Linked DNA regions of Drosophila melanogaster. The protein of the gene in region 2 interacts with the protein of the main gene of each other region in a pairwise test. Each region holds a gene or a part of one and is shown on either strand. Other genes may lie near its edges.

What was found.
Region 1: the proteins of CG6149 (region 2) and naz interact in a two-hybrid assay, tested with the Drosophila melanogaster proteins (one large-scale study listed by BioGRID).
Region 3: the proteins of CG6149 (region 2) and Roe1 interact in a two-hybrid assay, tested with the Drosophila melanogaster proteins (one large-scale study listed by BioGRID).

Annotation. Positions count from the first base shown.
Region 1 is NT_033777.3:18,325,936-18,330,660, forward strand, and holds the start of naz (nazgul), read right to left. Parts: upstream 3,008-4,725; 5' UTR 2,884-3,007; coding exon 2,786-2,883; intron 724-2,785; coding exon 71-723; intron 1-70.
Region 2 is NT_037436.4:11,434,134-11,437,238, forward strand, and holds CG6149 (uncharacterized protein), read right to left. Parts: upstream 1,344-3,105; 5' UTR 1,329-1,343; coding exon 624-1,328; 3' UTR 562-623; downstream 1-561.
Region 3 is NT_033778.4:13,552,396-13,556,213, forward strand, and holds Roe1 (Roe1), read left to right. Parts: upstream 1-1,681; 5' UTR 1,682-1,785; coding exon 1,786-1,871; intron 1,872-1,991; coding exon 1,992-2,286; intron 2,287-2,631; coding exon 2,632-2,892; 3' UTR 2,893-3,211; downstream 3,212-3,818. Other genes in the region: link, read left to right, coding at 3,593-3,818. UniProt on the Drosophila melanogaster protein: Essential component of the PAM complex, a complex required for the translocation of transit peptide-containing proteins from the inner membrane into the mitochondrial matrix in an ATP-dependent manner.

The DNA.
Region 1 (4,725 bases), on a different chromosome or scaffold from region 2:
AAGGCAGCTCCTTCGAGTGCACTTCCCCAGTTCCCTCTCGGGGAATAGGTCCCGAACTTTGTGCACTTACCTTTCAGTTCCCTGGCCATCCAACGGGTGGCAAGGAGCACGCAGAGCTTGGAGTGGGCAAATGCTTCGCGGGCGTGGAACTTCACCGACCAGGTGCCCACATTCAGGGGATCGTCGAAATCGATTTTGGCGCCCTGATGGGCATGGGCGGAAACGAAGAGGATGCGTCCTTGCTCCGAGCGTTGCAAGTGTGGCAGGAGCAGGTGGGTCAACAGGAAGGGGGCCAGATAGTTCACCTGGCTGTGCCGTTCGAAGCCATCCTCGGTGGGCATCTGAGTGTTGGCGAATACCACTCCGGCATTGTTCACCAGCACATCGATCCGCTCGAATTCCGCCATCAGCTGGCCGGCAAAGTGATGGACACTGCGCAGCGAACAGAGGTCCAAGTAGCGTGCCTCCACGAAGTACCTGTCCTCCGGATTGTCATCCTCATCCAAGGAATTCAGGGGTGTGCGGCAGCCCAGCTCACGTTTGATTATGGCCGCCGCCCGCTTCCCGGCCTCGAGATTGCGGCAGGCGAGGATTATCCGGCCACCTCGGCCAGCCAGAGCCTGGGCTATTTCGAAGCCAATGCCGCTGTTGCCGCCGGTGACCACCACGATTTGCTCCTTGATTTGATTATCGTTCGGACAGCGCTGGCCGCTCATTAAGGTCCTGGCATGCGGGTAAAGGATACAGATTAGATGGAGTTGGAAGGATGGAGAATGTTGGATGGCAAAGGGGCGGGCATGTGGATCAGTGGGTGTGGCTAGTGGTTTATGGGTAGCTTAATGATGTCCTGCATTCATGTTGCGTGTGTGCACTTAGCTAAATATTACCACTAAAAGTGATTCTTTTTATATGAAACTCATAAAAGATCTTAAAAAAAGAGTCATGCTTTTACAATCGAAGAAACTTTTTATATAAGATATTTTAAAAAATGTTATACATCATCAGTTTTGCGTATAGTAAGTTTCAAATTGACATAATTAGTTTAAAATAGATTTGCTTTAAGCTATAGCATGTTTTTTAATATTTTTGTGTAAAATAAACCTTATACATTTTTTCAAAGTAGTAAGGGTGGCGGTTAAGGGGTGGTAAAGGCATATAGTCGGAATTTTGGCTTATTGATAGGCGTTAATGGAATCAGCATGACTATTTGCATAAGTCTGCCTGCGGCCATTTGGCGATTTGGCTAACTCTGGCCGCTCATTTTCGACTCCATTAATTACGGTGCGTATGTCTGTAAACAATAATTGTCAATTTATTTAATTTCAAGCCTTGGGAAACAAACGAAATTACTGCAGCACAGGCATTATCTAAAGCTATATGCGAAATGTGTTTTAAACTCTAAACAGGTACAAAGCTCACTAATTAGTATATATTCGTGCTGTAGTCAATTAATTCGCATGGCTGAGTTCTAATTCATTTCCAATTCGTTTAATTGCACTTTTTGTGCGAGTTAGTCCACTTGTCTGTAAATTTAGTTTAATATTATGCATATTTGTAACAAAATTCCATTTGAAAGTAATAACTTATTTCGCTTGTAAGCTATCAGCTCAAATGCAGCTTATTTTGAAACTTTAAAAGATATTCACATAAGGTGCTTGATTTTTATTATAATTGGCTTTGTAAACAGAATGCTCACTGCAATCCAAATTTTAAGAGCCCACCTCTCCCGCAATCGAAGGCAATTTAATTTCTGCATTTTGCAGTCAGCTACTTCCTCTATAATCTTCACCGCATTCCATTTGCTCCACTTCATTTGGCGGCGACTTATTTTTGGCACTTAGAGCCAAGTTTGCCATGCCATCCCTCATTTTGGAATTCATTTGGCATTTCATTTACTTTGAGCCAAACTTTCGCAAATCCACTTTGTAAATATTTTGAGGTGGCGGAGGGGCTTGGGCGGGACTTGCTTGCAAGGGAAGTGCAGAGTGCCATATTGCAGTCACTGCCATTTCCGCTTCCGCTTTCCCAGCTTAAACTAACACCTGCAACTGCGAAACGACAGATAGCGTTGGGTCACAAAAACCGCGATGCTCGCGGTGCTCAGGAATAACAAAAACTAGTAGGCGGCGTGGTAAATTAATGGTTGAACTACCAGATACCCTGTACAAAACAAATTAGGCAAAACTCTCAAATTAGAGAAGGGCTTTCAAGAAATACTGTGTTGAATATGTATTAATCCATGTATGCATATAGAGCCATTCTCCGTATAGTGTAACGCTAACTTTACCAACTATATATAAATTTATTATTTATAGAAAATTTAAATGCTTTCCTTAAAAATGTTCTCTATTTACTTTTTAATGCATGTGTGTTTTTTAGTTGGCTACGTGTTCTATCTCCAATTTGTTTCGCATGAATAAAGTCCACCCTGTTAACCCTCGAGTACCGGAGGGTGTAAAAAACAAAAGTGGAAATAATCTTCAGATATTACATATTATCCGGGTCTTCTCTGCACCACTGCTCATCCACTTCCTCTCGAGTTCTCCACCATCTCCGTATGAAATCCACTTAAAAACTTTTCCGCGAATGGTGACGGAGGGGAAGTTTTTACTGGGATGCTGCGACATTTATTTACGTGTGTCCGAGGCGAAAGTTTTTATGCCCCAAAAAAATGGGGGCTTCTGGGGTACGGTAGGGTGCGGTGGGGTAGGGTAGGAATGGGGTAGGGAATGTGGCCGGGTGAATAAAAAATATCACACAGTTTCCGTTGACTCATCGCACTCACCGCACCGTAATCACAATGCCCACCGTGAGGGCCGCTATCGTGGGCCACCACGTGGCGAAGGGATCCGCCTCCTCGAACATGGTCAGCAATCGTTCCATCCTTGAGTGTATGCTTTGGATGCTACTGGGTGCGCGTTAGGTCCTGCCTCACTTTCTTCCCCTGCAATCGATGAATGAATCTGTGACTGGGTCTGCACGACACAAATGTTGAACGAAAACTGAACGGCATCCGTAGTAATAAATATGAATACTCTTTGCGTGGTCACCCGCTGGGTGCAGCATAAGTGAATGTATGTACACACGCGTAACTACAGTGGACACTTCCTAAATGGGACTACAGAAAGTGCTCAAAAATATTGAATAGTGGAAATCTTTAAAATACATGCAACGCCTCATGAAATGCTGTTCAATCTGGATCCGATTTCCTTAATCACATTTATTAAGTATTTATTTTTTAAGCTTTTTTGAAGATTTAATGATATTTTATGCCTACTGTAGTTTTGGTTTTGAGTGACCAGTAAAGAGCAAAAACTGAAACTAGCATGCCCACTTAAACGGGAGATACCCTAGAATAATCATGATTGCATATGTATTCGATTAGATTTATAATATATTCTCGTTTTAAGAATATGATAGTTATTTATGGCTGCTAGTTAGTTCTAAGTGATTGTTCCTATCGAGAGATGCCTGTTTAAATGCGGGCTTGCGAGTGGACCCGCTCTCATCTGAGCTCCGATTTCCAGAGCCGGCGGAGAAGATGTCGTTGACAATTGAATTTAAATGACCACCCCACTCGGCATCGCCGCCTATTTTTTCGACCCCTCAAACGTCACCGGCATATTTTCAATTTACATAAATGCTTGTTGCGCGGCATACGAAATGAGCGCTAGAACGAGAAGGGAAAGTGGCGCCCCCAAGCTCCTCATTTTCCTGGCCCTCGTTTGATTTTTCCGAGTTTGCCACCTGTCGTTGTGGCTCTGAAGGTTAGGTGCAAATTTGCACAAGCCGCAATATACAAGAACGTGAGAGGGTCGGAAAATGCTGCTCGCTATTTACACACGTTTTCCATTTTTTAATTTGTGTTTTTACTTCGCTTTTCATCCCATTTTTTTCCCTTCATTTTCTGCGGCTTACGCATTCAGTTTGCATATTTTTGTCTGCGGCAATGCAGACTAATGTGATTCAATTAATCTTTTCGCGTTTTTACCTCGAAGATTCCTTTTTTATTTATATTTATTCAAAAGTGTACTATATACGCCAGACTGAGTAACCACAAATTGTAATTATTCTTTAACAGCTGTTGTCTGGGATAAAATATGAAGAAAAGTGGTTTGGGATATAGTGGAACATTAATTAATGGGTGTGTTCTAATATTAAAACTAAGAAAACTTATTTAATATTTCAGATAATTAAAGAATTAGTCAATTATAAATTATGAAAATTAGATTATTTGATGATTTTTTAAACAGAACAAAGAAAGAAGAATTAATCTATACTACTATAAAATCTGTCAATTCTGAAGTGTTTGTAAACGCACTAACTGGAAAAGCGTTCTCCTTTATTTGTACTTACATAAATTCGTAAAAATACAAACCCTTAGAATGGAACACACTTATTTACCTTGTCCATTGGCGCACACGCTGTCCAAATTTATTATCCGACAAGAACTCAGCGAAGAGCCATCATCAGTTGTTCACGGAAAATGCTGGAAAATGCCATTCATTCGCTTTCGGTCCATTTCACCGCAAACCTCTCACCCTTTGAAACTTCAATTCAATTACGACGCATCCATAAAACATGCCAGTGACTAAATATATATTTTTCGAGTAATTTAGTTCGTCGTATCACATGCAATGTATGTAGCTTTCACAGCCCCTATGGGAGCCATGGACTATGGAAAGTGCACTCCATGCACTTTGCGCCTCCAGTTCGCAGTGTGTT
Region 2 (3,105 bases):
AGTGATTGACAGAAATGGGCTGTTACCCATCTGCCTTTGCAGCAAACAATGAAAAACTGTGCCTTTCTTCTCTGAGTTTCGGCTGTCCGGAGATCACTTTCGAAATATTGGCACAAGTGGTGTCCTGAAATATTCGAAATCGGAGCCCACATCCTAGCCAAACCGGAACCTCCCGCTGAAAGGATTGAGTAAAACAATGGATCGGTTTTCCAGAATCAGCTGGCAGCTGTAATTTCCGCACGTGACTATCATATAGTTGAATGAGAATATGTTCGAATCCATATGGATTCCGCTTCTTAGCAGCTGGTTTTTCGATGATAAACGCATTTGAAAACCAAAATAATATATTCAGAGCGATTTCCGGTTCCGTTATGTGTGTTGAAAAATTAGATGATTTCGACTTTTATATTGCAATTGATCTTTGTACCGGAAACATGTTTTATTACTTTCGAATTGAATTTTATGGTTTCTACAAAAATGTATATTAGTTTTATTACTGCGCCTTTTGTACGATTTGAATAGTTGCATAGCTTGACTTCCACAGTAGTCATATTTAATTTAATAAGAAGCATATCCTATATACTTTATTTATGTTCCTATCCTTAAACTATCAAATGTGCATTTCAATGGGAATCGATCCATCTGTGGACACCAGTAGATCGCTGCCACAAGACGTTATTAACTCGCTCGCCGAAGAGATAGTAAATGAATCCGAGGACCATGATAAGGACAAAGAAAATTACTCTCAGCTGCCAGGCGATGCCGCCCAGAAAGGGATACACCCAGATGTCGGTCCGGAACCAAACGATATGTATCCACACCAGATATCCCAACATGAAGGCACCCAGTCCAGTGAATCCTCGACTGCGTTTCGGATATTGATGTCGTGTAATACCCAACTCCACAAAGGCATAGATTACGACGAAGGTGTGCATGGTGTGGTTCAGCCAATTGGGATAGACCAGGTCCAAAAGCACCGGATATATCACTTCCCGATCGATGGCGAAGAGTGTCCAAAAGGTGAGACCCACCGTAAGGGCCAGAGGTACGGCAAAGGTGGCGAAGATGTAGTCTCGCAGCTTCCTTAGAGATCTCAATCGGAGGAGGTCAAAGGTCAGCGCCAGTGTATAGTACCCCAACTGCAAAAGGCCGCACAGAAACGTCATGTACTTAAACTTGCCACCAATCGGTGGCTCCAGGCGCAGGGTCACCGCCACTTGTGGCAACTGGGCATACCGACAGTCAAAGTAAATGGCATAGCCCAGGTGAACGGTGGCCGACAGGTGGAAAAACAGGCGAGCCCTGTTCGACAAATTAAGTCGCTCCATTTCCGGATAGATACTAACGCATTTGTCGATGGAGCTATGCTAATGTGGTGCAAATCGATCCGGCATAGGGAAATAGCCTATGACCGAAACGGATTCGCTAGAATAGTGATGCAAAATAAGCTCTAATTTTTACCAAGTTGGGTGAGAAAGTTTAAATAGGTTCCATTGAAACAAATAAATAACAATTTCAACCATGTTTCTAGTTTTGTAATCTACTCAAACAACTATTTGAAGGAAACACATAAATACCGTATCTAAAACTTATAGATAAATGTGAGTTTGGATATACAACGTATCAATTTCATCGTTAGTTTAATTATTGACCCACTGCGGAACCGAAAGGTAAAAGGCGATGAGTATTGACTCAAATGGAAATGGGGAGTTTGCCGTTAAAACTACAGGGGTGCGACCTTGGACACAGCTGATTCGTTTGGTCAGAGGTCCTTCAATTTCAGGACCAGATGTTGCGATGAAAATGAAGAGGAAGGGTCCACCAACCGCAGGCAATCAAATGGATGTGTGTTCCGTAAATATTTGTTTGTTTTCCTTTGTCGGCCGTGCAGATCTCAGTGGATAATTAGTCAGGCCCATCACCACCATATGTCCGACGAAAACCATTCGTAAATAGTTAAATTACCTTTTTGCCAAATTCGATTCAGCCATCTGACGGCGAAAGCGAGAATAGGTAAAACTATTTGTTTAACAGTGACCTGATAATTATTAGTTATATTTAACAAATATTAGTAAATAATTATAAATATACATTATATCTCGGAATACTGAATCAACTAGGAAGCCCAAAATTATATCTTATTAGCAGTGCAAAATAAAAGTAAAAATTTCAAGGACTTTTAGCTGGGTTTTTTTTAGTTTTTTAATAAATCCAGCTCACTTATCGATAAAAACTAGCTCTTAAGTAAGTCGACATCTGTTTGATTAGTAAGTCTTTGCTGTTCGAATTTGAGTCTATTAGTTAAATAGTGGTCTGTTACTATTTATAAATTCAATTTAAGCGTCTGTCCATGGTGATAACCAAATGGATTTAAAAACGAAAGGAGTCGCAAAAACTCAGTGCCGTGACGCAAATTTGGATATTCGAATGCCTGCGAAATATACATATGTATATACTATATAAGAACGATGTGTGCCCATACAATTATGATCCGCACTGCCCAGACTAATTGGAGCAATGTTGTTAATTTTTTAAAACCGTTGTCGGACACGTTTCGCTACGGTCATTGCGACAGAGTTATTTAAATATAGGCAGACATTTCTGGCCGATATTTTCGCACATAAAAACGGGTGTACAATATTTGGCAGTCAAATAAATGTATCAATCCCTTTAGGACCGAATGTTGCAGACTGTTTAGTTAGCACTTGTATGAACTCTGAGTTTGTAGGTGTATTGAGTGTAATTACACTATAAATAATCTATTGAGTTTTATCACTTTGTTTAATATAAGAATAAGAAAACCATGTTTAAATCAACTTAAGTTGGTTAATTAATTTTACAGACACATTTTTATTTTCGTATAAAAAACACACTATATATATTTCAAGGACGTATACATACTCCACATATTCCACTCTAGATTTTAAAGGTTATCAAGCATGTTCTTAGAAACTTTCAAAGGGAATACCTAAAGAAATTGTTAAAGTTCCTTATTTTGTTTCCCCTCACAGTTTCAGTTTCGTACATAATTAATGTTGGATCATCTTTTCACTGTTCACAAGCTTTGTAAACACTAAATCCAAAGCATTTGCCGCCTCTATTGAA
Region 3 (3,818 bases), on a different chromosome or scaffold from region 2:
AACGAATTCTTTCGATGCAAAAAAAAAACTGGTCAAAGTTTTGGCTAGGGCTGTCAATAAGTCGATTAAATAATCGATAGCATCGATTTCTTGGCCCATCGCGAAAGTAAGCGCGAAATTTAAAAACCCAACGGATGTCTTCACCTTCGTCATTCAGAAGAGCATTCGTCATTCATAATTAATGTCGACAAAGGAGTGTACTTGGCATTGCAAATTAGTCAGGCACGTGAAAACACCATTTTTATTTTTAGCCTAATTTGTACGTGTTTTTGAGTGCTTTTAACCTCTCAAACAAACATTTTTGTTGTTTATTTTTAGAACCGCTTATAAACAATATACAACTATATGGCGGAGAAATGGCATTGTGTGAAAAACTTTAATTAGATCTAAGAATATCATTTAATATATTGTTTTTTAATGTGTTTTTATTGCACAGATAGCTATTAATAGCACTTGGAATCTTTCTTTAATAGGAAATCTACTATAGACACTGTTGAAACTAGCTTTAGCTGTAGTTTTTGTATAAAACCTAGTCTAAACTACATGTTTACTATGTTTACCTCTTTATTTCCCTTCCTGTGAAGCTTTCTTAGTCCACCCACCTGAATTGTTTACGCCTCTCACTCAAATCCAGGACTCTTCTCAATGGCTTGGGTGAGTTGCCCGGCGACGTGGCTGCCGCTCCATCATTTTCCTCCTCCAGAGAACTGGACACCGAGGTACTTGCCACCATTTGGAGGGCCAATTGGAGATCCTCCTCACGCATTTTTTGTTGTTTTTTTTTATTGGAAAAGTATGAAAAAAAAACCGAGTTTTGAGACGACAACCTCGTTGTTCCGGTGGCGAGATCCAACTAAGTGACTTCTCGTGCTTCGTTTTCCAAAATATATACAATGCATGCGCATATGTAATACTTGGCAGTGCGATCGGAGAGGTAAGTTGTTGAATAGATGCTATGCCCGCCTCGTACACTCGTACTTTGAATTCATTAAGAGCCTTCCGATATTTACATTTCCAGAGCAACTTTTTTCGAGCGGTCCATATTTTGGCGGCCCCGGGGCGTGGCCGATCTGGTATGAGATCGATTTATAAGCTATGCGTGGATTAATAGCCGGTGGCGCACTCTTAATAATATATGTCCGAAGGTAGCGCCAAGAATATAGGCCCATTTTTGCATTAACACCGATCGATTTTAAGTGGACCTGCGCCTGCCAATATTGTCGATACACATTTTCACATTTTTATATGCCATTTGCATATTCCGTTTGTCCATTTTATATAAGAAATATTTTGTCGCTTTAAATTTGTATTTATGACCAAGGTGAATTCTCAGGGGTGTCAGGAACTACTGATCAAGTAGGGATTTCTTTATTAATAATAATTGTTTGTTTATTGCATTTTTGGGTTTAAGTGTGTAAAGTGGTAAAATTTCATACATTTTTGATTTCATTTTGGTAATATTGATGCTATTTAAATATTTATTTATTACTTGCACCGATTTCCTTCTTAATTTATTTTTAAGTATTTTAGTTATATAAAGAGATTTTCTTTGGATTTAATGTAAATAATTTTTTACATGAATGAATCCGAGCTTACATCTATTCTACATCCGACTTGACTGTTGCATTCTACAGCTGCGCTGCGGTCACACTAAGCGGCAACACCGGGTGGAATCGATAAACAATTACTATCGAACACACATCGATTGTTGAGAGAGCTGTGAAGCCGACGATTTTACGTCAAAAGCGGAATAAGTTTATTTAACGTACGAAAAAGCTAAGCATAATGTCAGCAAAGGCAGCCTTACCACTGCAGATGTTTGGCCGGCGACTCGTCCACCTGAGGTCATCGGTCACTTCTCAAAATATGAGGTAATTCCGGTTGCATTGCTTCCTCTTATCTGTGACGTAATGAGGGCGCACGTTTGTCGTTTCGCATGTAATTCTAACATTGCCTCCCGTCTCACTCCCAATCGTCTACCACACAACCAGTGCCCTGCGTTTGTACAGCACAGAGAAACAGCCGGAAGAAGCGACAGAGCAGAAGGCCACCGAATCGTCGCCAGAAGTTGAGAAACTCACCAAGGAACTGGCCGCCGCCAAGGAGCAGAATGCCGAGCTAATGGACAAATACAAGCGTTCGCTAGCCGACAGCGAAAACATGAGGAACCGACTGAACAAACAGATCAGCGACGCCAAGATCTTTGGCATCCAGAGCTTCTGCAAGGATCTGCTCGAGGTGGCGGACACACTGGGACATGCCACACAGGCGGTGCCCAAGGATAAGGTACAAACTATCTTATCTTAAGATTTAAGGTTTAAGGTATCTTAAGGATTCAGACTCGCAATGAAGTTGCATATGTTGAGATAAGAATTTCGTAATTATTTGTTGCCAATACTTGAAAATCTTCATAGCATTTTAAGGTGTATTTTCCCGATCTTTCCATTTCTATCTGAGAGATAACAAACCCGATTGCATTACATACATCTAATTGTACATATAGATTTGTTGGGGTATTTTAAATTGAGATATTTGGATAACTTGTTAGCCATTTTAGACTTAATAGATAGTTTAATCGTTTTGCATTAACATTCTTAAAGCTACCCTTACTAATGATCTTAATTATTGCAGCTCAGCGGCAATGCTGATTTGAAGAACCTGTACGAGGGCCTCACCATGACGCGCGCCTCGCTGCTGCAGGTGTTCAAGCGACACGGACTGGAGCCACTGGATCCCATCAACCAGAAGTTCGACCCCAATCAGCACGAGGCGCTGTTCCAGAAGGAGGACAAGACCGTCGAGCCCAACACCGTGGTGGAGGTGACCAAGCTGGGCTACAAACTGCACGAGCGTTGCATACGTCCGGCCTTGGTGGGCGTGTCGAAGTGTTGATAGCCATGCGGCTGCCCAGAGGCATGTAAAATTCCCAGTACTCCCCCCCCCCCCCTAAACCAATTTACATGGCGTGTGTCTCTCAATTGTTTGCAATTTGTTTTCCGCTGCAAAATTCATGTACGTAAACCCTGTGTAAATACAACCTATCCCACAAACGCATCCTTCGGGCAAAGCTTGCGAATTTAGAATTCCTCCTAGTTTCTAAGAGATCTGTGACTGGATTTGATGGCCACAATTTGTACCATACGCGTGGCCATCGAGTGTTCCACTTTAAGGTTTAATTACGATAATAAAACATGTTTTAGTTTGTTGAAATATACCACGGAAATTTGTATTTCATCCTCATCTGGAGGAGACTCTGTTTATCTAGGTCTCTTTTTAGTTTCCTTTGATTTTCCCCGTTTTCCTTAGCCCTTGAAATTCGAATCCCTCATGAAAAACCATTTCTTTTGTTAACAAAAACCAGGTAGCGAAGCGTAATCGCATTCCTGCTCGTCGCGTAGGTGGAAAATTCAATGGAAATGCGTGATTTTCTATGACCCAGCAGGTAGGCTTCCAAGCACGTTCCCATGAATTCAGAGGTAGCACAGATGGTGGGTTCCCTAAAACGAGATTTGCGCCAGAGTTGAAAGTCTACTTCAAACGGTTTTGAACTATCTCGTTGGTTAGTTGTCCTTAAACATTTGAAGTGAACGGTATGATTGGTGTGCTAATGCGTTTTCTCTGGTCCTTGGCCATGGTGCAGTGCATCCAGGCTAGAGTGTCGATGCTGCCTCGTTTTTATGGACAAGACAGCGCTGTTATAGTGGACATCAATAGAAAATTCCCACCTAGAATGGACTCCAAGCTGCAGAATGCCCTGTACTACAACCTGCCGGTCTACAAACTGATAAAGCCAACCACAACAACTACGACAACCACGA